Diceros bicornis minor: one gene and its partners. The protein of the gene in region 1 purifies or fractionates together with the protein of each later gene. This does not show direct contact. Links are inferred from orthologs where the notes say so. Each region holds a gene or a part of one and is shown on either strand. Other genes may lie near its edges. The genes, in order: RAB11A, WDR44 and EVI5.

What was found.
Region 2: the proteins of RAB11A (region 1) and WDR44 purify together in Homo sapiens (affinity purification with mass spectrometry; 3 studies listed by BioGRID and IntAct, counting the BioPlex papers as one, with this or other methods). This does not show direct contact. The link is inferred for Diceros bicornis minor from reciprocal best matches to the Homo sapiens genes RAB11A and WDR44.
Region 3: the proteins of RAB11A (region 1) and EVI5 purify together in Homo sapiens (co-immunoprecipitation; 3 studies listed by BioGRID and IntAct, with this or other methods). This does not show direct contact. The link is inferred for Diceros bicornis minor from reciprocal best matches to the Homo sapiens genes RAB11A and EVI5.

What each region holds. Positions count from the first base shown.
Region 1 is NC_080744.1:60,101,467-60,111,803, reverse strand, and holds the start of RAB11A (ras-related protein Rab-11A), read right to left. Parts: upstream 4,446-10,337; 5' UTR 4,324-4,445; coding exon 4,284-4,323; intron 3,770-4,283; coding exon 3,659-3,769; intron 1-3,658. UniProt on the Homo sapiens protein: The small GTPases Rab are key regulators of intracellular membrane trafficking, from the formation of transport vesicles to their fusion with membranes.
Region 2 is NC_080781.1:109,106,263-109,116,212, forward strand, and holds the start of WDR44 (WD repeat-containing protein 44), read left to right. Parts: upstream 1-5,332; 5' UTR 5,333-5,721; coding exon 5,722-5,798; intron 5,799-9,950. UniProt on the Homo sapiens protein: Downstream effector for Rab11 which regulates Rab11 intracellular membrane trafficking functions such as endocytic recycling, intracellular ciliogenesis and protein export.
Region 3 is NC_080743.1:28,962,759-28,973,145, forward strand, and holds the start of EVI5 (ecotropic viral integration site 5 protein homolog), read right to left. Parts: upstream 4,628-10,387; 5' UTR 4,609-4,627; intron 1-4,608. UniProt on the Homo sapiens protein: Functions as a regulator of cell cycle progression by stabilizing the FBXO5 protein and promoting cyclin-A accumulation during interphase. May play a role in cytokinesis.

The DNA of each region.
Region 1 (10,337 bases):
TTCAGTTACTGAATGAGAAACCAAACCAAGAAGGGTGACATTTAGGATCACTAAAAAACTAAACTAGAATGGATTAAACTACCTAAGCAAGAGAATTTATTGGCTATGATTTAAAAAACAAACCAAAAAACCAAAAGTTCATGGACTCAAACTTAATTTCCAATCAAAATAGCTTCTCTCACTAAAATAACAATATTTAATTGCTTTTTAAAAATGTGACAAACTATATAATCACATCCTACAGTTCAAGAAAGGAATTTGCAGTGACTTTTCCATGTTTTCCATAACTACTATCTTCTATTTTAAACATTTTATAACTACAGCCATCTATATTATATATATGTGTGTGTGGGTATAAATTAAATAACAGCATCTATATATGAAACATCTACTGCCTTTCTAAAGTAATCTGATATTTATTACCACTTGGTAAACTTCATCTGCTGAATCTTACGTTATCATCTCTAATACCTAATACTAAATTTGGTTCATTATATATCAAATATTAGGCTACTAAATGCCGTAAAAACAGAATATACATATTAATTAAGCATTATTTAATAAAAATTTCCACCTCTTCAACCACATTTAGTTTTTTACACTCTCTTGCAAACTAATGCATGGACTAAAATTTAATTCAACAAATCAATCATAGTACATCAGACCTAAAAGTTATCACCTGAAGGAATAACTGATAATTTACATACCCGTTTTTATAAATAAACTTGGAGATGTTTCTACTCCTAACTATAGGCATTGTACACCACCACCAAGAGTCTTTAAAATAAAATGCATTCAATACGGCTGAAGTCAAGTTTTTCCAGATTCAGCAGAATGTAAGTTGCTCAACCAAAAGTTGTGAAAGAAAAACTACCAAGATGCAATACAGCAAAGTTCCTACCATTGTTTCCACTGACAATCAGCTGATGGTTAATTACTACTGACCTTCAAGGAGACTGAAAAGAAAATGGTGTAGATTATGTATCCAGATATTTTCAGAAAATGTGATTCTGATTGGTGTCTGATTGGTGTCTACCACAATATCTGTAAATACGAACTATAATTGGTGCTTACTTCACTTATGTGTCCCACAGGGCCTTAACCACATTGTGCGTAAATACCTGTAGAATTAAAGTTTTTTTTTTTTTTTTTTTTGTGAGGAGATCAGCCCTGAGCTAACATCCGCCAATCCTCCTCTTTTTTTGCTGAGGAAGACGGCCCTGGGCTAACATCGGTGCCTATCTTCCTCCACTTTATATGGGACGCCACCACAGCATGGCTTACCAAGCAGTACTTCGGTGCGCGCCCGGGATCCGAACCAGCGAACCCCGGGCCGCCGCAGCGGAGCGCGCGCACTTAACCGCTTGCGCCACCGGGCCGGCCCCGAGAATTAAAGTTTTTAAAATAAAAAGTCAGGTTTTAAAAAATAAAATTAACTCCTCCCGACCAGAAGTTACTCACTGTTGAGCTTAACTAAAGATTAATGTTCAAGAACAAAAACATAATTTAGAATAATTGTCCTGCTCTCCCCACATTACATTCCTGCTTGGACTACTCCATCCTATACTAATCAAAATATCTTTTCATTTGCAACTAGTTAGAGTTACAAACTAACTTCCAATTCCCTCAACTATTAAGTTTGCTAGGTAAGCCTTCTTCCAAGAGAGCTCCAGCTCATCTTGGTGAATAAATCTCTGTAGAATGAAACCATTTGAAAATGAAATTATTGTTGCTTCGCTTTAAATTATGAGAACTGTATAAATAAGAAATTGGCTAAATAATCAGCACTGAGTAAAAAACAAAGTGACTCATATCCTGTAAGAGCTTTAAAAAAGTGGAAATCCTCCTCAGCAGAATTTTTTAAACACCCTATCTTAAACTGCAAAATGTACAACAAGATGAAACCATAACTCATGGAAATATAAAATACTTCAGAAGTTCCTAGTTCTAAGTTTCTTTACTAACACTTAAATGTTCTTACATTTATCAAGATTTAAGGTAAAAAAAACTGACAAGAACCAGAATAATCTCTTTCATATTATTACCATTTATTGAGTCCTCACAGAAGCTAAAATTTTACAGCCAGTCTCATTTACCCCTCACAACAGTCTGGAGAGGTAGGTATTATTTCCTTTTTATAGATAGGGAACTGAAGTTTAAAAAGTTAACTTTCCCAAGGTTACAAAGCAAATTTAAGACCTGAGTCAGGATTTGAATCCAGGCCTCTGTGATTCCAAAGCCCTGTACTCTCAATTAGTTAGGATGGTCTAATCCCAAAGATAAATTAAAATTCCTTAAATCAATCCAGGACAATTAATAATCTTAGTGAAAAAAATAAATGGCTTCTATAACCAACATTCAAGTTCCAAACCAAACAGGAGAAATACTCTGATAGTCTATCGTGTTCTAAATTACTTCAAAGATAGCTAGCTGTCACTTGCCACCGTACCTTATTTAAAAAAAAAAAAAAATCTCCCTTTAATGACTAAACCCTAGTCTCCAGGGTCTCACTAAGTAATTTCACCTGACCTCAGAGGCCTTCAGCAAACAGTATGCAAAGTAAGCCATGTTTCCTTTTTGTATCTGTAAAATGCATTAAGTACCCCCTCCTCTGTAAAGAACTTTTCACTATGGGAGGTGGGGGTGGATATTGAAGATACTCACCTTGTATAAGAGAATATTCTAGCCCAGAGCAGTAAGTGGTGATAAGGGTATATCTTCAGCTAAGATTTGCAAAGTACTGGTAAAGCAAAGATATGTGTCCTGCTTTGTTTAGTCAATCATTCTTATGACCCAATGGCAAAGTCAGAAACAATCACCATGCTTAACACTCTTTTTAAACTCCACCCTCCAATGTAAAGCTTCAATAGCAATGGCTTCTTCCTCCCTGGTAATGATCTTTGTTCAGCATACTACTGATGGCTGCCCTCCTAATTCAGGAATAGAGAAAGAGCATCAGAGTGAGAGCGCATTCACAGAACAAAAAAAGCATTTACTGTACTCTTTATCTTTGTTGATTAAAAAAAAAAAAACTATTTGGATTCTTTCCGGACCTAACCTACAAGCAATTCTTTCTATTCACCCCCCATCCTCCAATATGTTTTGTCCAAGGGCACTACATGTTTCCCTACTTTATAATAAATATTTAATTTGACCAAAGAGCATAAAACTTCCCCCCTGACCCCCACCTTTTGGGAAAGGCATAAGGCTAACTAGGACTCTTCCTTTCCCGTTCTAAAAACACCAAAAGGTTGGATCCTCCCAGTGTTGCAGCAGGAAGCAACCAGTCCATAGTGATAAAGCAGGCTAGTATTTGTGCAGCGCACAACCTTTCCTGCTCAGGAACTGGGCCTTCAGGTCTGGCAAGGATAACAGCCACCACCCATCCGCAACCCCTTCTCGCGAGCAGAGTCAAGAGTTATCCCGGGCTGGCTACCGCTGGGTGGGGAGGGTGGGAGAAAAAAGACTAGGTGGGAAGTCACATCAGTAGGCCGGGTCACTGCGACAAGTGCGCGGGTGGGTGATGGCCAATCCCTCCAACCCTACCCCCCACCCTCGGGGTCGCACAGGAGACGTGCGGAGCTCTAAACCATGTGGGGAGGGAAGGTAGAGGGGAAAGAGCTACCAACCCCGGGGGCAGTGCGAGAAGGTTACTGACCGCGAGTACGGTGGGGCGGGTGGGGGCCTCTGGCCCGCTCAGATTTTAACCCGGGCCCGGCCCCGCGACGGAAGACTACGGCTAGCAGGCGCGTCCGTCGGAGAAGAGGGGCTGTGAAGACAGGCAGAGCAGAGGCTCGCTCGAGGGGAAAGGGCGGCGGATAAGAAAAAGACCTGAAGTGGGAGTCTGCGCCGAGGGAAAGCTGGGGAGCGGAGGGAAGGGCCTGTCAGAGGGGCTCGGGGAGGGGAGCAGCTAGGAAGGGTGTATACCGAGGGGGAGGGGCAGCAGACCCGAAAAGACAGACGGTGGGAGGGGCGGCCCCTCCAAAGGGACGACAGAAACCGGGAAAGGAAGAAGACGATTTGGCAGAAGGACACTCGGTGAGGGGCCCTGAGGCTACAGAAGGCCTGCGGGGAAGTCGCGAAGAGACCGGTGTGTGGTGAGGACCCCTGTCCGAGAGGAGGAAAGGGGGCTGAGCCGAGAGACCTAAGGACAAACCGCAGGGAGAGGAAGGACTGAGGAAGGCCGATTTCAGAGCAGGGGTGGCCCGCACGCGGGTCCCCCGGGAGTGTCCCGGGCCCCCGAAAGGGGACTGGGTGGAGAGTGGGCGAGCCTGTGGCCTCACCTTTGAAGAGGTAGTCGTACTCGTCGTCGCGGGTGCCCATGGCGCGGCCGAAGAGGGAAGGGGTGGGAGCAGCAGTGGTATCGGTGGGACCAGGGGGCGTCGCTGCAGGGGCCACCCGAGCGCCGAGCTTCAGCTGCCGGACCGGGTAAAGAACCCCTCCCTGCCGCTACGCCACTTCCGGCAGGCCCCAACCCCTTAGGAGAAGTACTTCCGGGGAGGTGGCGCCCCGCCCCTGAGCCCAGGAAGGGCGGTGGGCGGAAGCATCGCGTCGATCTTCAAATTCTCACCCCCTCAAGGAGGCTCATGGGGGAAACTAAACCCTGGACTCCTAGCTGACCGCACTCTTAGCGGCCTCTTCCTCATTCCCCGCTCCGCCACGCCGGGAAGCGGGGCGCTGGGGAGCGCTTCGGCTCTACCGCGGTGTGGTGGGTTTGTGGATGGGGGCGGGGTTCATAAAGGATTAGGGAGCCGAAGGCGGGTGTCTTTGCGTAGCGGTTCCATGGTGTAATGGTTAGCACTCTGGACTCTGAATCCAGCGATCCGAGTTCAAATCTCGGTGGAACCTGCGCTGTTCGCTTTTTTTCCTGACCACACTATAAATTCATTTGTTCACTTAGTGATTGTTGTACAGCTACAGTATAGATGGCCTTGAACTAAATAGGGAGGGAATTTCACAAATATAATTTTTGCCTGCGAAGAGCTGACAGATTACCCCCTTCGATTCTGTACTATGTCACCTGATGGCTCCTAAGGAGCCTCTTCACTTTGCCGTTTTTTTAACCTGGGCCCTCTGCCTCAAACTTAATTCAAAAGCTTCATGAAACTGGATTTATTTTGCTAGAATTTTCAACCTCCGACTTTACTCCAGGGCAGGCGCTTTTCACTCACTCCTTTTCTCCGGAAATCTCTCAAACTATTTCCAGATGTCATTTAGAGAACTTCGCCCACCCTCCTCCTCATCAAGATTCAAGAACTTCTTGAGCCCTATTTGTCATCCTCTAAGCCAAACGCGTTTACATAATTATTTCATTTAACACGCAGAGCAAAGGATGGCAATTTCCATTTTAGCAAAAATGTAGATACTGAGACTCAAGTGATTTGCCAGAGATCACGCAGCAGGGCATCCCTGTCTTTGAAGAGAGTTTTGTCATTCCAAAAAGCTTTTCCCATTTATTGTCACACCCCCTACCACCAATATGCAAACCCACAATTCAGGCTTTTGGGTAAGGGTGCCTGTAGTAATCAGAATAATGGCTCCTCAAAGATGTCCACTTCCAAATCCCTAGGAACTGTGAATGTGTTAGGTTACATGGCGAAGGGGAATTAAGTTTGCAGATGGAATTAAGGTTGCAAATCAACTGACTTTAAAATAGGGAGATTATCCTGGATTCTCCAGGTGGGCCTAATGTTGTCACAAGGGTCCTTAAAAGTGGGAAAGGGAGGCAGAGGAGGTCAGAGTCAAGTGGTGTGAGAGGGCTTCAATCAGCCCTTGTGGCTTTGAAGATGGAGGAAGGAGGCCAGGAGCCTAGGCATGCAGAGGCTTCTAGAAGATGGAAAAGGCAAGTAGGGGCCGGCCCCGTGGCTTAACGGTTAAGTGCGTGTGCTCTGCTACTGGCGGCCCCTGGGCACACCGACGCACTGCTTGTCGGGCCATGCTGAGGCGGTGTCCCACATACAGCAACTAGAGGGATGTGCAACTATGACGTACAACTATCTACTGGGGCTTTGGGGAGAAAAGGGGGAAAAAAAAGAGGAGGATTGGCAATAGATGTTAGCTCAGGGCCAGTATTCCTCAGCAAAAAGAGGAGGATTGGCGTGGATGTTAGCTCAGGGCTGATCTTCCTCACAAAAAAACAAAAAGGCAAGGAAATGGATTCTTCCCTAAGGCCCCCAGAAGAAAGAGAGCTCTGCTGACACCTTGATTTTAGCCCAGTGAAACCCATGTCAGACTTATGACCTACTGAACTATAAAATAATAAATTTTGTTGTTTTAAGTCACCAAGTTTATAGTTATTTGTTACAGCAGCAATAGAAAACTAATACAGTGCCATTTTCAGGGCTTTTTCTCACAGTATAAAGCAATAGAAGGTTTATCTAAGGTCTAAATACTGCCTTGTGCAGGGGTGAGCATTATCCACGTTGGGGGAGATGCACAATATTACTCACGCAGCTAAATATTATGTGTACTACAGATTATGTATAAAACACAGTCCTGGCACTGCTCAGGTGGGTAGACAAGATGGGCCCAAGAAAAGGGGACTGTCAATAACTAGACAGTTCTGAAGGAGTAACTAATGAGAGTTCTGGTGATAAGTGCCACAGTTCAGAGACTGAGATAGTTATGAAGAACTCCCCGGAGGAGGAACTAGCATTGACCCCTGAAGGAAGAAGCAAGGAAGGAAACTCATTTTCGGAAGTGGAGGAAATTAGATGATAAGAACATGTTGAGCAAGGCCATTAATGCCGGAAGAATAATTATAACTTTTCCCCTTAAGTCATTGTTTCTCAACGTGTGTCCTGAGAAGGTCAGTAGTGTTCCTCCAAAGGATTGCATGGTCAAATAAATTGAGAAGAACTACACACTGTCTCCCCACCTTAGAGGTTCCCTTAGCACACTGGCATTTTAAAGTCTAGATATTCCACTCTGAAGAAATCTTTTTTTAACTGTGTAGAACACAGCATTTCCCAGATTCACCAGACCCCAGAACTCTTTTCCCAAGGAACACCTGTTAGCACCCCTCTAAACACTTTGGGGAAGCCATAAAAGATCTGTGGAGAAGTGATTGAAGTAAACCTTGTCTTAGGAAAATTAAGCTGGCTGTGGACTGCAGGACTCGGGTGAAGAGACTGGAGGTGTGGATATCAGTTAGAAGGCTATTGCAATTAACCGGGCACAAACTAATAGAAATGGGGTATAGCTAAGGGACTAAAGAAGAAAGAAAAAGCAAAGGCTATTGTGGAAAAAATGGTAAATGGATTCCACGGACAAAGAAGAGAATTAGGGTTTTACATTCTTTGGGGAAAATGAGTAGTAATTCCTTGATATATCTCTTTTTAATCTCTCAAGAAATATAGGTACTTAATGTAAATTACTTTAATGCAGAAATATAGAGTAAATCCTTAAAGTCTCCACTTCAATTCCTCCTCCAACCCCAGAGATAACTGCTCCGTTTTCTTTTAATAAAATCACGTTATATGTACCATTTCTCACCTTGAAAAATCTTTCCACATCAGTCCATACAGGTTTAACTCATTTGTTGCATAGTTTTCCTTAACAATGATGTACCATAGTTTGTACAAGCATTCCCATTCCCTTACCCATGGACCTGGCAGATACTGAGGGTTGCTAAATTAAAACCTATTCCTAAGCTGTTTCTTCCTTGCCCATTTCCCCATTAGAGGCTGGACAAGCTGAATATTCATTTTCCCAGCTACTCTGCAATATTTTATATACTAGTATAAAAATATACTAGCAATATATTTAATTTTTGCCCGTCTGGTGTGCCTAATAATTTCCACTTCTCTGATAACCAGTGAGTGTAAACATTTTCTCCTATGTTTATTGGCTGTTTATATTTCTTCTGTGAATTGCCTGTCAACATCCTTGTCCGTTTTCTTGTTGGGTTGTTTATCTTTTCCTATTAATGGGGAGGATCTCTATATATTCTACCTTTTAATCTTTTGCCTGTTATATATGGCACAAATATTTTCTCTAAGTAAATCACTTGATTTTTAATTTTATTAATGATGCTTTTGTCCATACAGAAGTTTTAAATTTTTATTTACTCAAATCCCTCTCAGTCATTTCTTCTATGGCTTCTGGCTGTTGCATTTTGGGTAAGAAGGCTTCTCCACACTAAGATGATTCAAAAAATGTTTTTTTAAAAAATATTTTTATAATTTTTTTCTCCATCTGGATTTTATTTATATTGAGGATGCTGTGAAATAGGGATCTAAATTAATTCTTTCCAAATGGATAACCAATTGTTTCAATATGTACTTGAATAGTCCATCTTTTTCCCACTGATTTGAAATGCCTAAATTTTTATAAATGAATCTCACATATATAAACGAGTCTGTTCTTGAATCTTTGCACCATACCTCTGGCAACGACAGAGGAACACTGCTCAGATGTCCTTTGAAGAGAGAGCCTATTGTGCCTATTGTGTGGTTGGCTGACAGTGTCCAGCTACCACACCTCCAAGATCCACTACAATGTTCACACTGAAGCCATGCTCCCTCCGGAATGTTCCCAGACAACGACTGAGTGCAGTGGGGGTTCTAGAGCTGGACCACTTCTGTACAGATTGGGGCTCTTCTAATAGGCAGTCTTTGCTCTTGAGCTCTCCACTGGCCTGGCCGAAATTTCCTCAGAATGCAATTACAGTCTGACGCTCTTCCTACCCAATCCTTCCTTTCCTCTCTCCTTGCATAGCTATTAGACCTGCTTTGTGGTCTGAAGGCCCTACTTCTCCCTTTTGTCCATCACAGGCATTCCTGCTAAATGAATCTCTTACACTTCCAATTCATCTGGTATCTGTTTCCAGAGGACTTGACTCTGATACAGTCCCATTGGTCAAGTTTTTTATTCCTATGCCAGTGTCACACTGTTTTGCTTATTATAGCTTTGTAGTCCATTTTGATGTCTCATATGTGGTACTAAATGAGTAAATATTTGTATAGTGCTTAGAATAGTGCCTGACACATAGTAGGAACCATTTGCCTTTGATAAATAAAAATAAATACGGCAATTCCCTCTCACTGTTTTTTCTTTCTAAACTTTGACTATTTTTAGGGACTCTATTTCAGATGAACCTTAGAGTAAACTTCTTAAGTTCCAAAAGATTCATATTGGGGTTTTGTTTGGGTTTCATTACTAATCATTAAAAATACTTTTTTCAGAAATGAAATATAGAATTTGGACAGAATGTACAAAAATATGAGATTCTGCCTATGAAGATACAAAAGGAATCAGAGAGATCTGAGGTTTAATATCTATTTGGAAGAAAGATCACTAGAAAAATGGAGGTGAGGAGAAAAAGCAAAAAAAGAGCAAAAATGTTGACTTGAGTTTCAGGCATGTCTAATTTAAACAGTTAGTAGGAAAACCAAAAGGAAATATCCAGCAAAAAGCCTGGGAATTTAGATTTAGAAATGTCTTAGCCTTAGAATATGTAGAAGAAGCAAGATCTGGAATATATCCCATCCTCTACAGCCTGGGAGGCAACTTTACATGGTTGTTTAAAACAGCGTGGAGACTGATAGGTCTGTGTTTAACTCTAGCTCAGCCATTCACTTGCTGTATCTTCATAATTTACCTAATCCTGCTGAAGCTCAGTTCCTTATCTGCAAAATGGGGATAAACGTGAAGACTGAAATAATATATTTGCAGCTCTTGGCATCATACCTGGCACATAGTAAATGTTCAGTTAATGCATTGGGTCTCAATAGGGGTCAGCTTTTCCCCCAGGGAATTTGATAATGTCTGGAGACCTTTTTAGTGTACAACTGGAAGGTGCTACTGGCATCTAGTGGGTAGAGACCAGGGATGCTGCTAAACATCCTACAATACACAGGACAGCTCCCCCACAACAAAGAATTATCTGGTCCAAAGTATCAATAGTGCCAAGGTTGAGAACCGTGAGTTAATAGTAAGGGTTAGCCAGAGGCCAGGCCAGGGCTTATGACGGGAAAAGGGTAGGATACCCATGAACATCACCTCTCCATCCTACCTCGTTTTTGAAAGACTGAATATACTCCCTAGGCCTCAGAAAGAATGCCCAGGACAGACATACCTCCCTTCAGTATCCCGTAAAGCAGAGCCCAACACAAAATACTTCCATATGTGGTTCCTATTTGTTAAGTAAACAGACCTCAGCATTCTGTTTCTTGACCCAAAAGGATGTTTACAGTGTCATTCACTTTATAACTATTTGTTAACTCTACATATCAGTTTCATGCATTTTTTTGTAATGATATTAGGTTTATTTCACAATGAAAAGAATTTTTTGAGAAAGAAAAGTAAACAGAACTTATGAAGTGGTGAAATTTGTT
Region 2 (9,950 bases), on another chromosome or scaffold:
AATACGACTTTTTACTGGTAGGCTAATTACATTCCAAGATTTGCTTTGTGGGTATTTTTTCCAAGTTCAGCTTCTCAGTGGCACTTATTAAACTGTTCCAGAAGCTAAGTGTAATACCTGCAATAGGCCCAGGACTCACAGCCATACACTATATTGGGAATGAATTTCCGGTCTTAATTTTGTATGTAAGTCTACCTTGTATATGATACAAGTGTATGATACAAGTGTACTTGTATATGATTGGTTATATATCTTCTTTTACTATTTTCCCCTTGTTTACAAAGTAATACATATTCACTATAGAAAATTCAATCACTATATAAAGATACAAATAAGGCACAAATCTCTTTTTTTTTTTTTTAAGATTTTATTTATTTATTTTTTCCCCCCAAAGCCCCAGTAGATAGTTGTGTGTCATAGCTGCACATCCTTCTAGCTGCTGTATGTGGGACGCCGCCTCAGCATGGCCAGAGAAGCAGTGCGTCGGTGCGAGCCCGGGATCCGAACCCGGGTCACCAGCAGTGGAGCGCGCTCACTTAACCACTAAGCCACGGGGCCGGCCCCACAAACCTCTTATAATTATTTTAATCAGTAACCAAAGACAATCACCATCAATCATTTGTGAACATTCTTCCAGAATTCTCTATGCTTATATACATATATAGATACATAGATAAATGATTTTACAGAAATGGGATTATTCCACATGCAGTATTTTGTAACATCTGTTTTCATTTAACACATCATGAGCTCTTGTCATGTCAATGAATATCGAAACTGAACCCTTAATAACTTATGGTGAGCACATTGTTCCTGTCTGCTACTAACACTTTCTTAGAAAAAAATATCCACTGCATACTCTACCTGGTCCTAGTGAAGGAGATAAGCACAGTAGTCTTTCCCCACATGGTGTGTGGCAGGGAATCAGCTGACCCAGGCCTGACAAATTAGAATTCTCTATGCCTTTAGCTAGAGGGATTTCCTAAGACCAATCAACATCGTTCTTGAGATTTAATATATGAACACTGGGAGAGAGAAAGTCTCACTTCCTTTGGGATTGAGAATTATTAAGACATTATAAACTGAAATTGCTTGCAGCCATCTTTGTTGACTAGAAGAGGAAGCTATCTGCAAGAGGAAGATTGAAGCCAAAGCACAAAAAGCAGCAGAGATAAGTAAAGATGAGAGATGGACAGGAAGATAGAGTATTGATGTATCTGGGACCCTGGATCCAGCCATGCCTGAAGCTACTTCATCTGGACCACAGTTGGTGCTGCTATAAGGGGACATACGCTTTCCTAAAAATCAATGCACTATGCAAAATTGTTCAATAAAAACCACAGGGTTTATGGGGAAAACGGGGCTAGGAGTACAACACTCAAAAACTTTGTCAGTGACACACACAAAAAGATATGAACCTAATAAAAATGGTAGCACAGTTTTACACATGTTAAATAGTTAAGAAATACATAAATACTACAATAAATATGGTGCTTTATTTTGAAAAAGACTTGAAGTTTGCTTATGGAAATAGGTATCAGAGAGGTTGCAGCTTGGGAGTTATTGTGAAGTGGTGGACGGAGGGTCAGCTGAAATCAGAGGAAAAGTAATACCAGAGGTAGATGGGTGTGGCTCAAAACACACACAAGGAAATGAGGTAGCTGGTAGATGTTTGGGGTATGTATGTGTGTATTTTGTGTATTCCTATGCGACTTGATTCAGCTGGGCGTAGTTTTCTGCTTTCACCTAATGTTTCTGGCTGATAAAATCACACATAAGCAAACGCAAAATTCACCTTATGCTCAAATTGTTCTCTAATATATTAATCACAAAGGAACAGACAAGTGTCATAGCAATCTGTATTTGATTATGCAAACAAATAAACTCCCTTTTTTTGTTTAAGATAATTCCAGTTAGCTTTCTTCCAGAGTTCTGAACAGTAATACATGGCTACATAATATTCCATTACACATTTTAAATCCCAGGCTGGCTTTTCTGTCTCTCTTAACACATTTCTAGACTATCTTTGTCTACTTTCAGTTCTTGTGTGCTCAGAGATTAATAATTCATTTTAATATTAACATAAACCATTATTAAGAAGGTAAGGTGGACTTGAAAAAGATATAAAGATTTCAAAGCCAAAGAGAAATGATTTTTTTGAATATTTACTATTATAACCTGTAACACAACTGACCTTTCAAACAGATAATTAAGGGTTGATGATTATAGAATTTTATCTTGGCTCGGAGAAATTTTGGCCAGTTTCAGAATGATTTTTTCATAGATTCTGATACTTCAAAATCCATAAAAACCCTCACAGAGATTGCAATATTAAATCTTTTCATGTCAATATTGTATCTTCAAATCACCTAACCTTGTAGATAAAAGTTTTTCCCTGAGTTATCACGTTAGCTCTTGTTTGTAACAAAAGCCTACATGCATTACACACGTTACAAATGATTACACTTGGGGTTGGAGCGAAATTGGCCCCAAGGATACTACCAGTTTGTATTATTCTCGCCAAGAGGAGAGAGCAAGCATCCCACAGACAAGTTGTTCCATACAGTGGCTGTAACCTCAAGCCTTTGGAATTCCTAAGGAGAGTTTATGCTACGCAGATAAGGAAGCATAAAAAGTTTCCCTAAACTTACCTTAGCCTTAGACCTGTGTAGTTTTTAAAATCATTGGGACTGAGCCAGGTGGAAAAAGGTTTTATCTTCATTTTCATCTATATGTATGATTTTGCTGCATTATATAATTCTGTTGTGAAACTGATTCAAGCAACCATTTAATTTGAGTATACTTTCAGTTCTGGGGTACCCTAGAAATAGCATCCTACGGACCAAGAGTCAGCAAAATTTTTCTGTAAAGAGCCTGATGGTAAATATTTTAGGCTTTGCAGACTGTAGAGTCTATGTCCCAACTACTCAACTCTGCCCTGAGAGCAGACATGTGCAATACATAAACGAATAAGCCTGGCTACGTTCCAATGAAACTTTATTTACGAAAACAGACGGCAGGACAGATTCATCCAACGTACCATAATTTGCCAACCCCTGCTTTGGACTAGTAGTTTTCAATTTTTTTTTTTTAAATGGAACCTTGGTGTAGTCTCTGGAGACTCAGGGAAGGCCAAACAGGCAGGGACCTGAACTATTCCTGCTTCAACTAGAGCAGTTTTTATTTTTACGATATGTGGACTTTTGCATGAAATTAGGTTTGATTAAAGGGTTCCATTTCTAATAAGGAGAAAAACTTCAAACTCACTGTCTTGGACTAAACCTAAAACCTGCTGCTTTAAAACTCAACAACAGATGTTACAGGCAAAACAAACACATCTTTTGACATCTTTAAAAATGATAGGTGGTACCCACATGTTTTGACATTCTCAGAAATTCACTTTCTCATACAATTGATAAAAGCATTTAAATAGACAACTTTAATAGCTCTAAAAATGTTTTCATCTTATCACTCCTATTCCATTTTGACTTTTTCTAAGTATAATGTTTAAGGTACCTTAAAAGGTCCAAGAGAGGTGGTATGGTATAGCGAAAAAAAGCATCCAACTAGGACTCCATATTTGTCTCCATTGCCAGATCGTGAGCTCCTTCCAGGAAGACAGGAACTAAGTTGTCGTCTTCATCTTTGAATTGTCCTCAGCACCTAGAACAGTACATTATACCAAACTTTAATTTTTAAGGCAAACATAAATTCATTATTAGATAACTAGGAAGAGAATAAATTCAGGTAGTTTGTTTACTTACATCTTTCCATAACATAAGGAAAAAAGCATATCTTTCCTAGTGAGCAACAAAATAACAGGTTAGTACTTTGAGATACATTTTTATGCCTAGAAAATTAACATGTTTAAAACACATAAAAGCTAATAATTACTAGATTGTGACAAAAGTCATATCCTCACAAAGATCCACAAATCTCTTGTCCACAGTTCTGAAATCCAAAAAGCTCTGGAAACTAAGAATTTTGGTTTGTTTAGCAATCTATTTGACAGTCAAATTGATCTAACTTAAACTTACTTGTCAGTAGTATCTGACCTGAACTGAATGAGGCTATTTACTGATATTTATTTACGCCGTATGAATAATCATACGGTTTGCTGCAAAAATAGTACCTTATTTGATTATGCCGTGTTTTCCCTGAACTCCCTCGGGTGTTACAGAATATACAGTATATGGCATTTGGTTTTACACAAGTCCACCAGACAACACCACATCTTTTCCTGGTTGCTTTACAAGGAGGAATCTAGAGCCCCATTCCAGCGTCTCTGAGGCCATGCCCCTGGTCCCAATCCTTCTTTTCCGCCGCCATTTCGAGCAATAGTTGAGGCTGCGCTAACAGCTCAGAGAGCCTGCCTGTCATGACGTCAGTGGGAAAAATAAATGTGCTTTGCGATCATATAGAAAATCAATGTTATCACTTTCATGCTCAATGACCCGTTATTTAAGAAAGAACATCTTGGTCTTTTAAAAAGTACCTTTCTATTTTCATCACTGGACTTCGGGCAGTCGAGGATCAGAATTAAGTTACTAGCTCTTAGCCTTGCAACGGTGTCTTCTCAATATACATTTACCATCTGACTGACGCACATCTTGGCCAGCATGTACGGATTTTTCTCACATTAAGCGTGGGCAACAGATATTTGCAGAGAAAAAGTAACCAGAGGCCCTATGCTGGCTCAGCTCCAGCAGCATATCCATTATTACTTCATGGAACTGGCATACTCCCACGTATCTCTCACCGACCCCACCCTCTGGCCGGCAGGACCGTATTTAGGGATCTCAATTAGAGATCTTGTTATAAATAGGGCGGTTTACTCTTGTAACGCTAGAGGTGGTAGACCTGCCTACGCCCTAGGGTGGGATATTCCGGGCTTTGATAAGTGAGGTCGACGTAAACGCAAAGCACAATGCCAACGTTTTTTCCGACAGCATTTTCTCGCAAGTAAAAAGCACACTCAAAATCACCCCTCTGAAAAAGCCTCTCTTTGGAAGCGCAGAGTTAGGCGGGTACGACGCTCTGCCGGACCCCACCAACATCAGCAGCCGCCCCTCGGCGCCCGGGCACCACGCCGCTCCTGCGCAGGTCCTAAACTCCTCCCTTCAGGAGGCTCATCCCCACACTTCTCGACTACTTCCGGCTCTCACCTAATGCCCTCAACGCGCTTGCGCCGTTTTGATAGGCTTCTCGAGTAGAAGAAATCGGAGCGCTGCCTCTCTGGGGCCGCCCCCGCCTCCTCTTCGCCCCGCCCACGCCCTACCGTCCCCTCTGGAAATCTCGCGAGGGTAGGTGCGCGTCCGTATTTTGCGGGCAACCAGCTCTCCCAGCTGCTGTAATTGCTGCTGCGGGAGAAATTGGAGCTGCTGTCGTCGGCGCGCCCGCCCTCCCCCACTGAGGAGAGCCACCGCCTCTTCTCTCGCTCTCCCTGTACACCTATCGCCGGGAGCGGCGGCAGCAACAGTCTTTGGACCCACCGCCGCCTCCTCAGGCGGCCGCTCTGCCGGTCATTCTCGCAGCCCGGCAGCCGACGGCGGCCCCCTGCCCCTAACCGGCTCCTCACTCCAGATCATCTGCTCCCTTCTCATCCTCGCCCGGCACCCACCTCCCCACGGTCTCGCTGGTGAGGAGGACGACGAGGAGGAGACCAGAGTCACCCTCTCTCCAGGCGACGCCGGCCCCCTCACCCGCGGGTGTGTCCTATAAATGGCGTCGGAAAGCGACACCGAGGAATTCTTTGATGCCCCTGAAGATGTGCACCTAGGGGGCGGCTACCCTGTAGGGTGAGTAACTGTAGCTATGGCCCAGAAGCCGGGCGTCCCGGTCCCCCGGCTACCCCCGTGCCTTCTCCCCACACCCCTCCCCGGTCCCGCTGTGTCCGCCGCCGCTGCTCCTCTCAGTCTCACTCGGGCACTTCAGAGGGAGTCGGGGGAGGGGGAGTCGCCCACCTCGGGCACATCCCCTCCTTTCCCTGGTGAACGGCCCCAGCGGCTCTCTCGGAGCCCCTTTCTCGTCTTGTCCAGCTTCTGCGAGGTGGGACAGCTTAGGTGCCTGAGAGCCGGCGATTTGTATTTGTGGGGTTCAGAGCTTACCTTTGAAACATCCGTTTTGGCCTTGGGGACCGTAGATTAAAGGAGCAGTAACAGGAGAAATTACATTTCGCATCTCTTTCTTTCTTTTGCCGCTGACTTACCTGTTCGTTTCAAAGGGAGCTGTAACTCTCCCTATTCGCCGTCCTCTTCGCTGCACAGAAAGAAGAGGAGCGGGAGAAAGGTTGCGTGTTTACTTGGGAAAGTCCTCTAGCTGATGTACCTCTAGATCAAAAGGGTTTTATTAAAATAGCACCTTACCGTGAGGCAAAGGAAATCGAAGACAAGGTCCTTTACCATTAGGAAGAACGCGGTCTTAAAAGGGTAGCCGGACATAAACGTACACAACCGACTACAGGGATACAAACAAGTGCTGAGTAATCTGGTGGTTGGAAGGAGAGCCACAGCTTTGTGCTCTTTATCTAATTCTGCAAGATGTTTTAGTGGTGATTAATCTGGGAGATTCTGAGTAGGAAGTCCAGTAGTTGGAGTGCTTCGCTTGACTGAGACTTCTGCTTACCCACTCCTCCACTTTTCAAAGTTGAAATAATGTTTAAAGCAATTTCACCGAACTCTTCTAGACTTGTGTGGAACTAGAGGCAGTGAAATATATTTTCATGCTATAAGAACTAGAGAAGTGGTAAAATTTGTATGTTAATGTAAGTCCCTAATATGGTTCCAGGAGTCAGCTGCCTTCAGTTTTCAAGCTTACCCGGTAGAAGAAATACCTTGTTTGATGTAAATAAAGTTATCTGTACTTTCTAGAAGTCGTTATAAAACCTAATATATATTATATATAATATATACCAAAAAAGTGGCAGCAACAAAGTCGAAAGAAATGTACTTTGGTAGATGGCTGATGTGTGTGTGTTTCCACCAACCTTCATGTCACCATTATGGGATTTTGAGTGACGCTGGCCAATCTTGAGATGGCACTGAATCTCCTTCAAGTTCAGTATCTGACACAAGTTCATAGCTAGATGGTAGAGGATAGAAAATACATTTGGATTTCCAAATACTTTGGAGTCCCTTGAAATTAAATTTTGTTTTTGTGGTTTTCCCCTCAAAGTAATCAACTGTCAGTTTAGGTTGAAATAAGGCCTAATCCTTTAGTACTTTGGTGTGTGTGTATGCGAAGGAGGGGAGGAAAATAGCAATGGATGTATATGATTTTAATCAATTTAGAACTATGTGAATATTGTTCCTTTTCAATGAATAAAGCAAATTTAATTTTTAAGGACAGTTATATCAGGACCTGTGTAAACTGCCTAGTCCATTACCTGGCACAGAGAAAGAACTCAAATGTTCATTCTCTTCTGACTTCTTTTCCTGCAAATTTAGCTTCACACAGTGCTTACTTTGGGAGGAAGTATGCAGAACTTGGAGCTATTTAACTTATCTAAACTGAATGAGTCATTTTGATAGAATTGATAGAGTCACTTCTTCTCTCACGGGACAATATAGCTTCTCAAGCACTTTGATCCTTTGATACTTGGTGAAAAGTAAAAATGTCTCTTGGGACCCAGCATTCTAATTTTAACTCTGACCTGCCCAAATATTGAGCATTTTGAGCTCTGTGGTTAAAACTGTTATGTCAGTCTGTGAATTTCATGGCTCTATCCTGTATTAGTGAGGGGATTTGGAAGAGAATTAGACTCATCTGGAGAACTGCATCTGAAAAGAACTAGCAGTACTGGGAGGACAGCAAAAGGTTGGCATCATTAACATTTTCTCTGTCCTTTGTGACAAGTTTTGTCATTTGCATAAGGTACTGTGAGGAGGCTTGGCTGGGTAACTAACAACCTAGAAATGCAATGAGAATTCTTGATTTGTGGAAACAGATGGTGTCACTAGATATCTGGTCATCAGAAATATCTTCTGTCCCTTGATATGAACTGGAGTAGTGGCATACCATACAAACTCTAAGATTAACAGACTGAGTTTGGGCACTTCAAGAAATGTTCCTTGCTATTGCATGTTCTAGAGTACACAGACCATTTCACCAAATTGTAGTAAGCTGAGTAGGCAGTTGCGAGTTATCTGGTGTGTTTTGTTAATTAGCAGAATCCACATACACAATCCCTTTCCTAAAATTGATTTCTTCTATTTCCACTCCACTGGTGTCTTCAGCTTTGTTATTCTACTCTTTGAAAGCAAATTTAATAAGTTAAAAATCAGCCCAGTTTTTTAATAGAAAGACTTTTGATTCCAATGCAGCCTACTTTTCCACAGTGGCAGATCATCTCCGCGTGCCCAGCTCTGCAATATACACCATATTTATAATGCTTTATTTTGATTGATATTTTAGGTCAGGTTTCCTTATTCTTATCTCTCTTTTTACGTATGAGAGACCTTAGACTCAAAGAAGTTAATGAACTGGCCTAGGAGACACAGCTTGTAAGCTACCGAGCTGGGATTTGAAACCAGTTCTTCAGACTCCTAGTCCAGTATTTTTTCCTAGTACATCATAGCTGCCCCAGACTGTGTGGGTGTGGGTGTGTGTGTGTAGAGGGTATTCCCCTCTAAGAGATTCTGGAGTAAAACGCTTTAGGACCAACTTGTTGAATTGAACTGATGCGTCTATTTAAAACCAGCAGCCCAAACTTTTCAGTTCTCTTGGCTAGAAATTCCCACTTTCTCTTTCAGGAATACGTATTTTGTTTGTCAGATAGGAATTTTATTAGATCATAGCGTGTTACAGCTAGAAGGGACATCTAGTTAAACTCCTTCATATAAAATGTGAAAACCATAGCCTGGAGAGGGAAAGTGACTTGTCCAAGGTGCCACGGCAAATTAATGTCAGAGTTAGGACTAGAATCCAGATCACTTTCACAGTCTGGTGTTCTTTTTGCTACCGTGCTGTCTTTTGATAAAGCAGGAAAGCAGGAGGAAGTGTGGTATAGTAGAAAAAAGCCTGGGCTATGAGTCATTTCATTTCCTCATCTTTAAATTGAGGAGATTACACTCTGAGAACCTTTCCAACTCTAAAAGTCTGTCCTTGTGTTGAGATTTAATAGTGTGCTTTTACTGAAAAGCTTTTGTTCTTGGGAAATCTTTCCATGATCTTTTTTTTTTTTAGTTTAACAAACTTGATTGTATTGGGTACATGATTCAAGACCCATAGATTTGAAATTAGATATTTACTGGGTAAATTATATATGAGATAAATACTCCTACTGGTTTGTGTGGATTATACATACACATACTAAAGGCTGGCACTGAGAACATGTTATAAAAATAAACGTGACATTTTGAGCATTCTTTATTTTAAAATTTTTTGTGTGGCAACCAAAATATTTTTGAGGCCTTGGAAGGAAAGATAGAATGGTAACGTTTTTAGAGTAGGAAGGGACCGGAGATTGTAGCCCAGCCCTCCCATTTAACTGAAAGAGAAACCTAGGCTCAGAGAGGGGAAGTGACATATTGCTGATTAGTGGCAGACTCGGAACTAGAACCCAAGTCTCCTGATTCCTCGTTTATAGTGTGCTGCCTTGTCTGTGGAAGGAGGGAAAGTATTGCCTGGCATCCTGCTCTAGGTTTCTGGCACTTACCCTGTTAGTGGGGCTCCTAAGATGGTCTCCTCCTATCAGCCGTGATTCTGTTTCTTCATGGAATGCTCTCAGAGGCCCTTGACTGTTCTAGGATCCTAACTTTTGCCCACAAATTTTCTCCCAAGTCAGGATGAAAAACAGTGGCAGAATAGCTGATCTAAGAACAGTGGTTGTTACTCGTTTTATTTTATTTTTAGGAGTCTAGTTAGTGTCAACCACAGTCTATCATTTTAGGTTGGAGTAATGGTGAAATCTTGATTTTTAAGTCATGACAACAGAGATCAAATTGTCCCGA
Region 3 (10,387 bases), on another chromosome or scaffold:
AGGGAAGAGGGGGTTGTGGAAAAGGCTATTAACCTAGTCTTTTAGTTGGTGTACCCACATGCCCTCTAGCCTCTCTCTAATCACTTCTCCACACAAAAGGCTCTTGTGACCCTGTCACTTCCCAGTACAAACCATTTCAATAGCTTCCCATTCTCTTAAACCCCTTAAGTAACCAAGCCCTGCAGCGTCAGGCGCCTTGCCCACCTCTCCACATTCTCTCACTGCTCAGACCACGTTCTCTCCTGTTCTCTTTGCTCCAGCCTCACTGTTCTCTTCCAATCCCTCAAATCTTCCTGCCTCCGCAGAGCTTTTGCATATGCTTTGCTCTGCGCCTGGAAAGCTCTTCCAACCCTCCTCCTTCTGACTTCAGCTCTAGTCTCTACCTCTGAGAAGAACCTTCTGACCTCCCTACCTCCGTCCCCACCTATCACATCGCACTGAAACTGTAATTGTATTATTTTGGTGAATTTTTGTTTGCAGTAGACTATTAGATTCCTAAGGCCAGAAGTTTGGTTTTGTTTGGTTCATGGTTATATTTCCGTATTTGTTCAATACATATTTGTTTAGTTAATGAATGAGAATCATAGAATGCTAGAACTTGAACTAGATGTGGCTTAAAGGTTACCTAAGTCGTAGAAAGGTAAAATGTCACGATGTGACATTTGGAATAAGCGTCTAAAAAGAACTCCGTTATTTTAAAACTGATTTTATATTGTTTTAGCTGGGTTCTCACAAGAATCTTTGGGTAACCTTTAAAACTGAATTCTCAAAGCACCTTGTATAAACCCCAAAGTTAATAATGATAGCTATGGGATGGGTCCACATGAAACTAATAACATTGGTTGCTTCAAGGAAGGAAGATTGAGTGACTGGAGGACAAGGAAAGAGACTTTTGACTGCCTGCCCTTTTGTACCTTTTCAATTTCAAACCCTGTGAATGTATTACGTATTTGAAAATAAATAAATGACAAAAGAGTGCATACTGTGTGATTCTATTTATTTGAAATTCTAGATAAGGCAAAACTAATCTGTGGTGAAAAAAATCATAAGTAGTGGCCTCTGGCAGAGGATTGACTGGGAAGGTACATGAGAGAAGTTTCTGAGTAATAACAATGGTCTCTATCTTGATAGGGGTGTGAGTTACAGAGATGTCTTCATTTCATCAAAAAATATATAGTTAAGGGCCGGCCCTGTGGCTTAGCAGTTAAGTGCACGCGCTCCGCTGCTGGCAGCCCGGTTCGACCAGGGGCGCGCCCCGACGCACCGCTTCTCCGGCCATGCTGAGGCTGCGTCCCACATACAGCAACTAGAAGGATGTGCAGCTATGACATACAACTATCTACTGGGGCTTTGGGGGGAAAAATAAATAAATAAATAAATTATAAAAATATATATATAGTTAACATTTCAATTAATGTAAATTTTACCTAAAAATATATAAAAATAAATTTTAAAAAATAGTGACAGCATTATTATTTTGAAAATAAGTTAACACATGGTTGAGCACTCACTGTGTTCAGGTATTGGCTAAGAGCTGTACATACACTATTTCTTGTAATCCTCATACTCACCTCGTGAAGTAGGTATTATTATTATTTTTGTGTGTGTGAGCAAGCTCAGCACTGAGCTAACATCCATGCCAATCCTCCTCTTTTTATGGAGGAAGACTGGCCCTGAGCTAACATCTGCCCATCTTCCTCCACTTTATGTGGGACGCCGCCATAGCATGGCCTGACAAGCGGTGCGTTGGTGTGCACCCGGGATCCGAACCCGGGCCACGAGCAGCAGAGTGCACACACTTAACCAATACGCCACGGGGCTGGCCCTCAAGTAGGTATTATTATCATAACCCCCTTGCTTATGAGAAAACTGAGACTTAGTAAATACCAAGTAACTTGCCCCTATTTATACAGTTGGAAAATAGTGGAGCACGGCTTTGAACCCAGTCAGCCTAATGCCAGAAGTGGTTAAACTCTAGGCCTTATAGTACTTCTCTAAAATTGTAAATTTTTGGCTTATGCATATTATTTACCTACTAGATCAAGAGCTTCGCGATGATTGTAATCATATTTTGTTTTAGGCTTCTCAATAGCCCCAGCACTTTGCATAGTAGCTATTCAATGTATTTTGAACGAATGATAAAGAGTGATTTTATTAGTACAAATTATATACATATATATTTATATATGTATTTTATATATAAATATATTATTTATATATGTATTTTATATATAAATATATTATTTATATATATATATATAATATAAATAATCACTACTGCTGTGCTAAGCGCCTGAGATGTATTATCTCAAATGAGATCCCAGGCCTGAGGAGAGAGGCTTGTACCATTAGCTCTGACCCTCCAGCACTATCCCTGCTTGACCCCTTTCCTTCACTCACCCTAAGCATATCAATTTATCTGATGAAAAAGCTTACACTTTAACTTTTCACTGAAATAGCTAAATCTAACCAGAGAAGTAGCTAATTCTAACCTCTCACAAGTGCTTGCGCACTTGCGTAAGTGAAATTCCACTGTGTGAATTCCACACCAACACCACCTCTGCTCCAGCGTCTGCCACTCTGCTCTTCACACTCTGGAGTCTGAAACTAGAGTGGGAGATAAAGGAAGCATGGTGCGGTGGGCAGTGGCCCCTCCTCAGGGTCAGTTTAATTTGAGGTAAATTCAGATAGCAATTCGAAGTTTTCTATGTTCTAATGCTGCACACGCTTAGCATTGATTTGTGTCGCTGTCCGGGAGGGGAACAAAAGGAGGGTCTGAATTTCATCCCGTCTAAACCTGGCAACAGTTAAATCTCAGAACACCATGCTCTCAACTGCCTGAGGTGTTTTATAAGACAGCCATGTGAGCCTCATTGCTCATAGAAAGGAAAAGCCAGGGAGGCATTCCCTGAGAGGAAAAAATACCAGGGTACAGAGGAGGAGCTCACCAGTGGAGTCAAACCCACTGGTGAACAACACCTCACACTCACAATGAAAGCTCACAATGAAGTAGTGAAAGCCTATTTCATTTGGCTCATTTGCTTTCCACAACACGAATCCAAAAGGCACTCAAGCACAAAAGCTGTGGCCTCTCTATTTATCAAGGTTGTAAGAACGGCTTTCTTCTTATAACCACTTCACCTCCACCACATTCCATTCTTTGCAAGACACATTATCTTAGGAAAGAACATTGTTAAGAGACACACAATTTTATTGCCATCTCTTGGCACTTGTGCACAGGTCGAGACTAGATCTGGCATGGTCGTGGTAAAGAACCAGCTCTCTGGCTCTAGAGTTGGGACATCATTTCTATATGTGATATTAGACATTCACACCATCAACCCAACAACAGCTTTTGAAACTGCACCACCAAAATGAGACATCAATAGAGTGCCAATTTCTACCCCACCCACCAAAAGGAGAAGTCCATTCTTTTCTTAACTTCCTGAAATATCTGTTTTAAAGCAAAGTAAAATTTGGTACAACTAGAGTAGTAATTCCACTTAAACTTTCCAATTATCTGGGAATTAGTAATCTCTATATTAATGCAGGTGACTAGATTATAGCCTAAAATTTCAGGTGTACTTGCCAATAGTATGCTTATTTTCTTTGAGCCCCAATCTTCTCATCCATGAGCTGGAGATAATAATAATAATATCTACCTAAGCACTGAAGTCACAATTAAATGAAATAATATACGCAAGGCACATAATAAGCATTCAACAGTGGTACCTATTGTAATTGTTAATATCCAAAGCCACAAAGCACCAACGTGCAAAATTAAAAGATAGACCAAAAAAGGTGCTGAATTAGAAAAATCCTGGCTCTACCACCTGCTAGTTGTCTAGCCTTGAACCTCTGTAAACTTCAGCTTCTTCATCAGGCAAATAAAGATAAGAGTCACCAATGATAGATGTGTTGAAAGATGTGTTGTTTCATGTGAAAATGGTCTAATAACAGTGAAGTCAAGTACAAACTTTAGCTAATGTTAATTAGCACCCTGCCCCCCACCTCCACCATAAAAAGATGAGGAAACTATGTTAGGAAGGTGTTGCTTTACAGTAAAATTAATTTAGCTTGTATTAGGAACTGTGCTTCTAAACACGACTGGGAAAAACCACTGCTGAAGTTATCTCTGAGAGGCCACGCAACCATCAACATCGCCACCAAATAGAATTTGTGAACAAATAGTACTATGATAACCAGTCATTTTCCTCAGCTAATCTTTTCTCCACGTGAGAAGTTTAAAGCCCATACAGACACACCAGCTCTCCTCTGAGAATGTACATTCAAAAGAGATAACCAGCAGCCAATTACAGCAAGGAGAGAAACAGTGTTGAATTACAAAAAGCCAGTTACTAAAATGGCTTTCTTACAGGTGTGGAATTAAACCTAACACTTCGTAAATTCTCGTTCATCACTTGAATGGCCACAATACAATGAGATAACATTCTTAAAATAAAACTGAAGAAATGTTAACAAGCTGTTTCTATTTTGAAGATTAAGCAAAGTATACAAATCCCAACTCAATGACAAAATATTTCCTGTTGCAGCAATTACGTTTTTATAAGTTTTAATATAAAATCAAACATTGTTTTAGACATTTACCTGTTTCCCATTAGGGTTTCTAAAGGCAGCAGTCATTTTGATGGTAACCATGATAAGCAGAGAAGACAGGGATACTGGGGATTTGAATTGAATTTATAGCTGACTCATAGGGAGTGTTTACAACGACATTGCCACTGGGATCCACCCATTAAACACCCTTTCAGTTCCATCCTATACAGTTGTGAGTTGGTACCCTTAGGGAAAGCTGGGAATGTGGAGGACTAGGAATGCAGTAACTAAAGCTTTTTGGTCTTGTGACGGCTAATTGTTTTAGTTTTTCTTACACTTTTTCTTCCTTTCTCCCCCTCTCCCTCCCTCCCTTCCTTTCTTCCTGTTTCCTTCCTTCCTTCAATGACTCAATTTGTCTCAGAATGACAACTGTATATTAACTGTTATTGTGTTTGAGGTGCTGACTCTGAGGCATTGGCTAGAAGCTTCTGTATATTAGGTGGTTTCAGCTCTTGGGATTTGACACTAGACACAATTATTAATTTGGTAAGACTTACCTTTTTGGTTATTTTTTTACTCTTTAGCTGAGGTTTTGGAATCCTGCACGCTATTGTGTTCTGTTAATGGATATTGCAATTTTGTTACTCAGGGCCATTAATTGAGAGTTTACTATGAAATACAGAAGCAAGAGATGTACCTTGAGAGAGAGATCTGAATAGAGAAAAAGCCGCTTCCTCCATTCTCTTGAAAAATATCTGATGTAATATGTTACTTTTAAATGATTGCCTCTCTAATGATGATAGCTTATTTTTTAGAGTACTTACCATGATCTGGGCTATCGAAGTACTTTTTATCTATCATCTTACTTAATCTTCACTATAACCCTATTGTTATCTTCATTTACAAGTGAACTCCAAGCAAATCACTGAGAATGCTTCATTTATTTACTCATTCATTCATTCACAAACATAAGGGCATACAATTGTGTCAGGCACTTTCCCAAGAGGAAGGACAAGAACTAACATTTTCAGCTTCTACAACATGTCAGCAATAACGTTCCGTGCTTCCACATGAGCCAGCCATTATTAGGCCCTCCATTTAAAAGATGGGGAGCTATGGCTGGTGCAAAGTCACAACGATAGTAGGAAAAGCAAAATACATGCCTAAGTCTCTCTTGACTACAAAGCCCATGTTATTTGGAGTTAGCAAAATGTCGTACCTGTTTTCAGGCTCTACCGTAAGAATGTATAGTCTGGTGTAGAGGACAGACATGTGAACAAATAAATGGACAATAACGATACATTCTATTATATGGAGATATGATATGGTGAGAACATATAGAATGGGGAGTACCTAACCTGGCTGAGTGAGTTGTACTATTTTTATCTCTCCACACCCTCTTCCATCTTCTGTTATTAAATGTAGACACCTGACTCAAGCTAAGCTAATCACATTACCTTAACGACCTGACAATACTACTGGGTCAAGGGGGTAGGTCTGAGAGAGTCCTGCCCCTTATTTTTCAAACCAGAGTTGAAAAAGTAAAGGCCCTTTGACCTCTCATTATGAAGCTCTAAAGATGAGAACCCAGAGAACCTGGTGATACTTAGAGAAGTGAAAATGAGATGAAGTCCATCCTGAAGATATTAGAATTCCTGATTCCAACCAATCCTGCCTTTCCTAAGCCTCTGTTGTTCTTTTTTTTTTTTTTGAGGAAGATCAGCCCTGAGCTAACATCCACGCTAATCCTTCTCTTTTTTGCTGAGGAAGACCGGCTCTGAGCTAACATCTATTGCCAATCCTCCTCCTTTTTTTCCCCAAAGCCCCAGTAGATAGTTGTATGTCATAGTTGCACATCCTTCTAGTTGCTGTATGTGGGAGGCGGCCTCAGCATGGCTGGAGAAGCAGTGCATCGGTGTGCGCCCGGGATCCGAACTTGGGCTGCCAGTAGCGGAGTGCGCGCACTTAACTGCTAAGCCACGGGGCTGACCCTGCCTCTGTTGTTCTGATCTTTCTTTTTTTGTGTGTGAGGAAGATCATCCCTGAGCTAACATCTGTTGCCAATCCTCTTTTTGCTGAGGAAGACTGGCCCTGAGCTAACATCCGTGCCAGTCGTCCTCCACTTTATGTGGGATGCCACCACAGCATGGCCTGACAAGCAGTGCATCGTGCGCACCCAGGATCCGAACATGGCTGCCAGCAGTGGAGCATGTGCAATTAACTGCTATGCCATGGGCCCGCCCCTGTTCTGATCTTTCTTTAATGCTCTGACTGCACCAATAACCTTCAAGTGATTCATTCACTCATCAAATATTTTTTGAACATATACATATATATCTAACTTATATATAATATAATACTTATACCAGGTTATTTTACCAGGCACCGTTCTGAGCACTAGGGATAGATACATGTGGTAGCCATCCTCTAATCTGGCCCCCAGTGATTCTTGATGCCTGTTCTTCATGCCCTAGTATAGTCTCTCCCACATTGAATAAGGGCTGGTCTATGTGACCAATAAAATATGGCAAAGACAACAGAGTATAACCTCTGAGACTGGGTCATTAGGACACTGTAGCTTTCACCTTGTTCTCTTAGACTGGATGCTTTGGAGGAAGGCAGCCACTGTGTGTGAGCAGCTCTGCCAAGAAAAAAATCTAAGGCCTCCCATCAGCTTCTAGAACGAACTTGACAGCCATGTCAATAAGCCAGTGTGGAAGTGGAACCTTCAGCCCCAGTAAAGTCTTCAGATGACTTCAGTCCTGGCCTACCTCTGACTGAATCTACGAGAAACCCCAAGCCAGGAGCAGTCAGCAAGCTGCTCCCAAATTCCTGACACATAGAAACTGTAAGAGGTAATAAATGTTTATTGTTGATAAGGCACTAAATTTGGGGGTCATTTTTTTTTTACCACAAATAGCAGTAAATAGCAATAGCAATAGATAATTAATACAATATATCAGCGACAAAAACAGACATAAACCTCTGCCCTGAGGGAGCTTAAATTCTGGTGGAAGAAAACAGACGATAAATAGATATGTGCTGCAAGTAAAAAATATAGTAGGAAAACTGAATAGTCACATGCAAAAGAATGCAGTTGGACCCTTAACTTACACCACATACAAAAATTAATCCAAAATGAATCAAAGACTTAAACTTAAGAGCTGAAACTATAAAACTCTTTTTTTGTGTGTGTGAGGAAGATCAGCCCTGAGCTAACATCCATGCCAATCCTCCTCTTTTTGCTGAGGAAGACTGGCTCTGAGCTAACATCCATGCAGATTTTCCTCCACTTTATGTGGGACGCCACCACAGCATGGCCTGACAAGCGGTGCATCGGTGTGGGCCGGGGATCCGAACCTGGGCCACCAGCAACAGAGAGCATGCACTTAACCGCTACACCAGGGGCTGGCCCCTGAAACTATAAAACTCATAAAATTTAGCGTAAAATCTTTATGGCATTGGATTTGCCAGTGATTTCTTCAATACAACACCAAAAACACAGGCAACAAAAGAAAAAAATACATAAATTGACCTTGACCAAAGTTAAAAATATTTATGCATCAAAGGATGCTATCAAAAGTATTAAAAAATAATCCATGGAATAGGAGAAAATGTTTTCAAATCATACATCTGATAAAAGATTAATATCTAGACTATATAAAGAACTGCTACAACTCAACAAAAAAACAAATAAGCCAATTAAAAAATGGGCAAAGGACTTGAATAGGCGTTTCTCCAAAGAAGATATACAACAGCATGTGAGAAGACGAACAATATTATTAGTCATTAGGAAAATGCAAATCAAACCACAATGAAATACCACCTCACACCCACTATGATGCTTATTGTGAAAAAAAACAAATGTTGAAAATTACAAATATTGGTGAAGATGTGGAGAAATTGGGACTCTTGTGCATTGCTGGTGGGAACGTAAACTGATACAGCCCCCGTGGAAAACAGTTGGCAGTTCCGCAAAAAGTTAAAAATAGAATTACCCTATGACCCTGCAATTCTACTCCAAGCTACTTAAAGGAATTCAAAACAGGAACTCAAACAGATATACCAATGTTCATAGCAGCACTATCTGCAATAGACAAAAGGAGAAACAACCCAAGTGTCTATCAACAAATTAATAGATAAACAAAGTATGGCATATCCTTATAACTGAATATTATTCAGCCATAAAGAGGAACAAAGTTCTGATGCATGCTACAACGTGATGAATCTTTAAAATATTATGCTAAGTGAAATAAGCCAGACATAAAAGAACAAATATTGCATGATTCCACTTGTATCTAGAGTAGTCATATTCACAGAGATAGAAAGTAGAATAGAGGCTACTAGGGTTCAGTGGAGGAGGAAACAAGGAATTATTGCTAAATGGGTACAGAGTTTTTGTCTGGGGTGATGAAATGGTTTTGGAACTAGATAGGGTGAGGGTTATACAATATTGTGAATGTACTCAATGTCACTGAAGTATACACCTAAAAATGATTAAAATGGTAAATTTCATGTTATGTATATTCTTCCACAATAAAAAAAAAGAAAAGAAAGCCTCCTGGGATATTAGATCATCTTGTAAGAGAAGAATAGAGAATGAGGAGAAAGAGAATCTTGATTTGACTTAGTTGCAATAATAAATTTAACACACAAATAACAAAATATGTATATATATAGTATATGAGATGGTGTAAGTATGTGGAGAAAACTGAAACAGGGAAGGAGAAAGGGTGGAGTGGAGAAGGGTTATTACAATTTTAAATAGGCAGGGAAGACCTCACAAAGAAGGTGGTGAGAGAGTAAACCATCTGGCAAAGTGCATTCTAGGCAGAGAGAAAAGCAAGTACACATCTTCAAGGCAGGAATGTGCTTGGTATACCCAAGGAACAGCTGAGAGGCTGATGGTGTGGTTAGAATGGCGTGAGCAAGATAGAAAATCTAGGATATGAAATTAGAGAAAAAACAGAACCAGATGACGTGGGAGACCCTACAGGCCATCTTTAGCACTTTGGCTTTTACTCTAAGTGGGATGGATAAGCGGAGTGACATGATCTGACTCATGTTTTATGTTTAAAAACATCAATTGGCTGCTGTGCAGTGAACTGACTCTAGGGAAAGGTGGAAACGGGGAGACCAGTCAGAAGTTGTTGAGAGATGATGACCATTTGGACTAGTGCGGGGAATGCAAGTGGTGAGAAGTGATCAAATATGGATATATTTTCAGCCAACACGATTTGTCTTCAGATTGGCCATGTGATAAAAGAGAGAAATCAAAGATGACTCCAGATTTGGGGGCTGATCAACTAGAAGGATGGAGTTGCCATTTACTAAGACAGGAAAGACTGAGGGGTGTAGAGCAGGTTGAGAGGTGGTGAGGAGCTAGTTAGAGTCAAGTTTCTGTCATGTGCAATCAAGAGTCCTAAATAATAGTGGGGTAGTCAGGGAAGTTTTCACAAAGTAAGTGATATTTGAGGCTTGTCTTAGTGAACAAGAATTCCATTCTTTCTGTTAGGGAATGAAGAGTGTGCAGGTGTATTCAGTCAATGCTTATTGAACTAATTCTTTGGAATCTCTTCTATTGGGCTATCTTCTGTATGTGCATATCATTGTATATGCGTATCGTTGTATATCCTGTATCATTGGGCTTTTCCTAGGTTATGCTGCAGTAACAAAAGCCCCAAAATCTTGGCAGCTTACACCAACAAAGATTTATTTTTCACTTACATTTCCTTCCATGGCAGGTTGAGACTGTGGCTCTGCTCCACACCAGCTTCATCTTATATTTTAGATAGTGACATGTAATACTTGGAGAATCGTTGAGGATGGC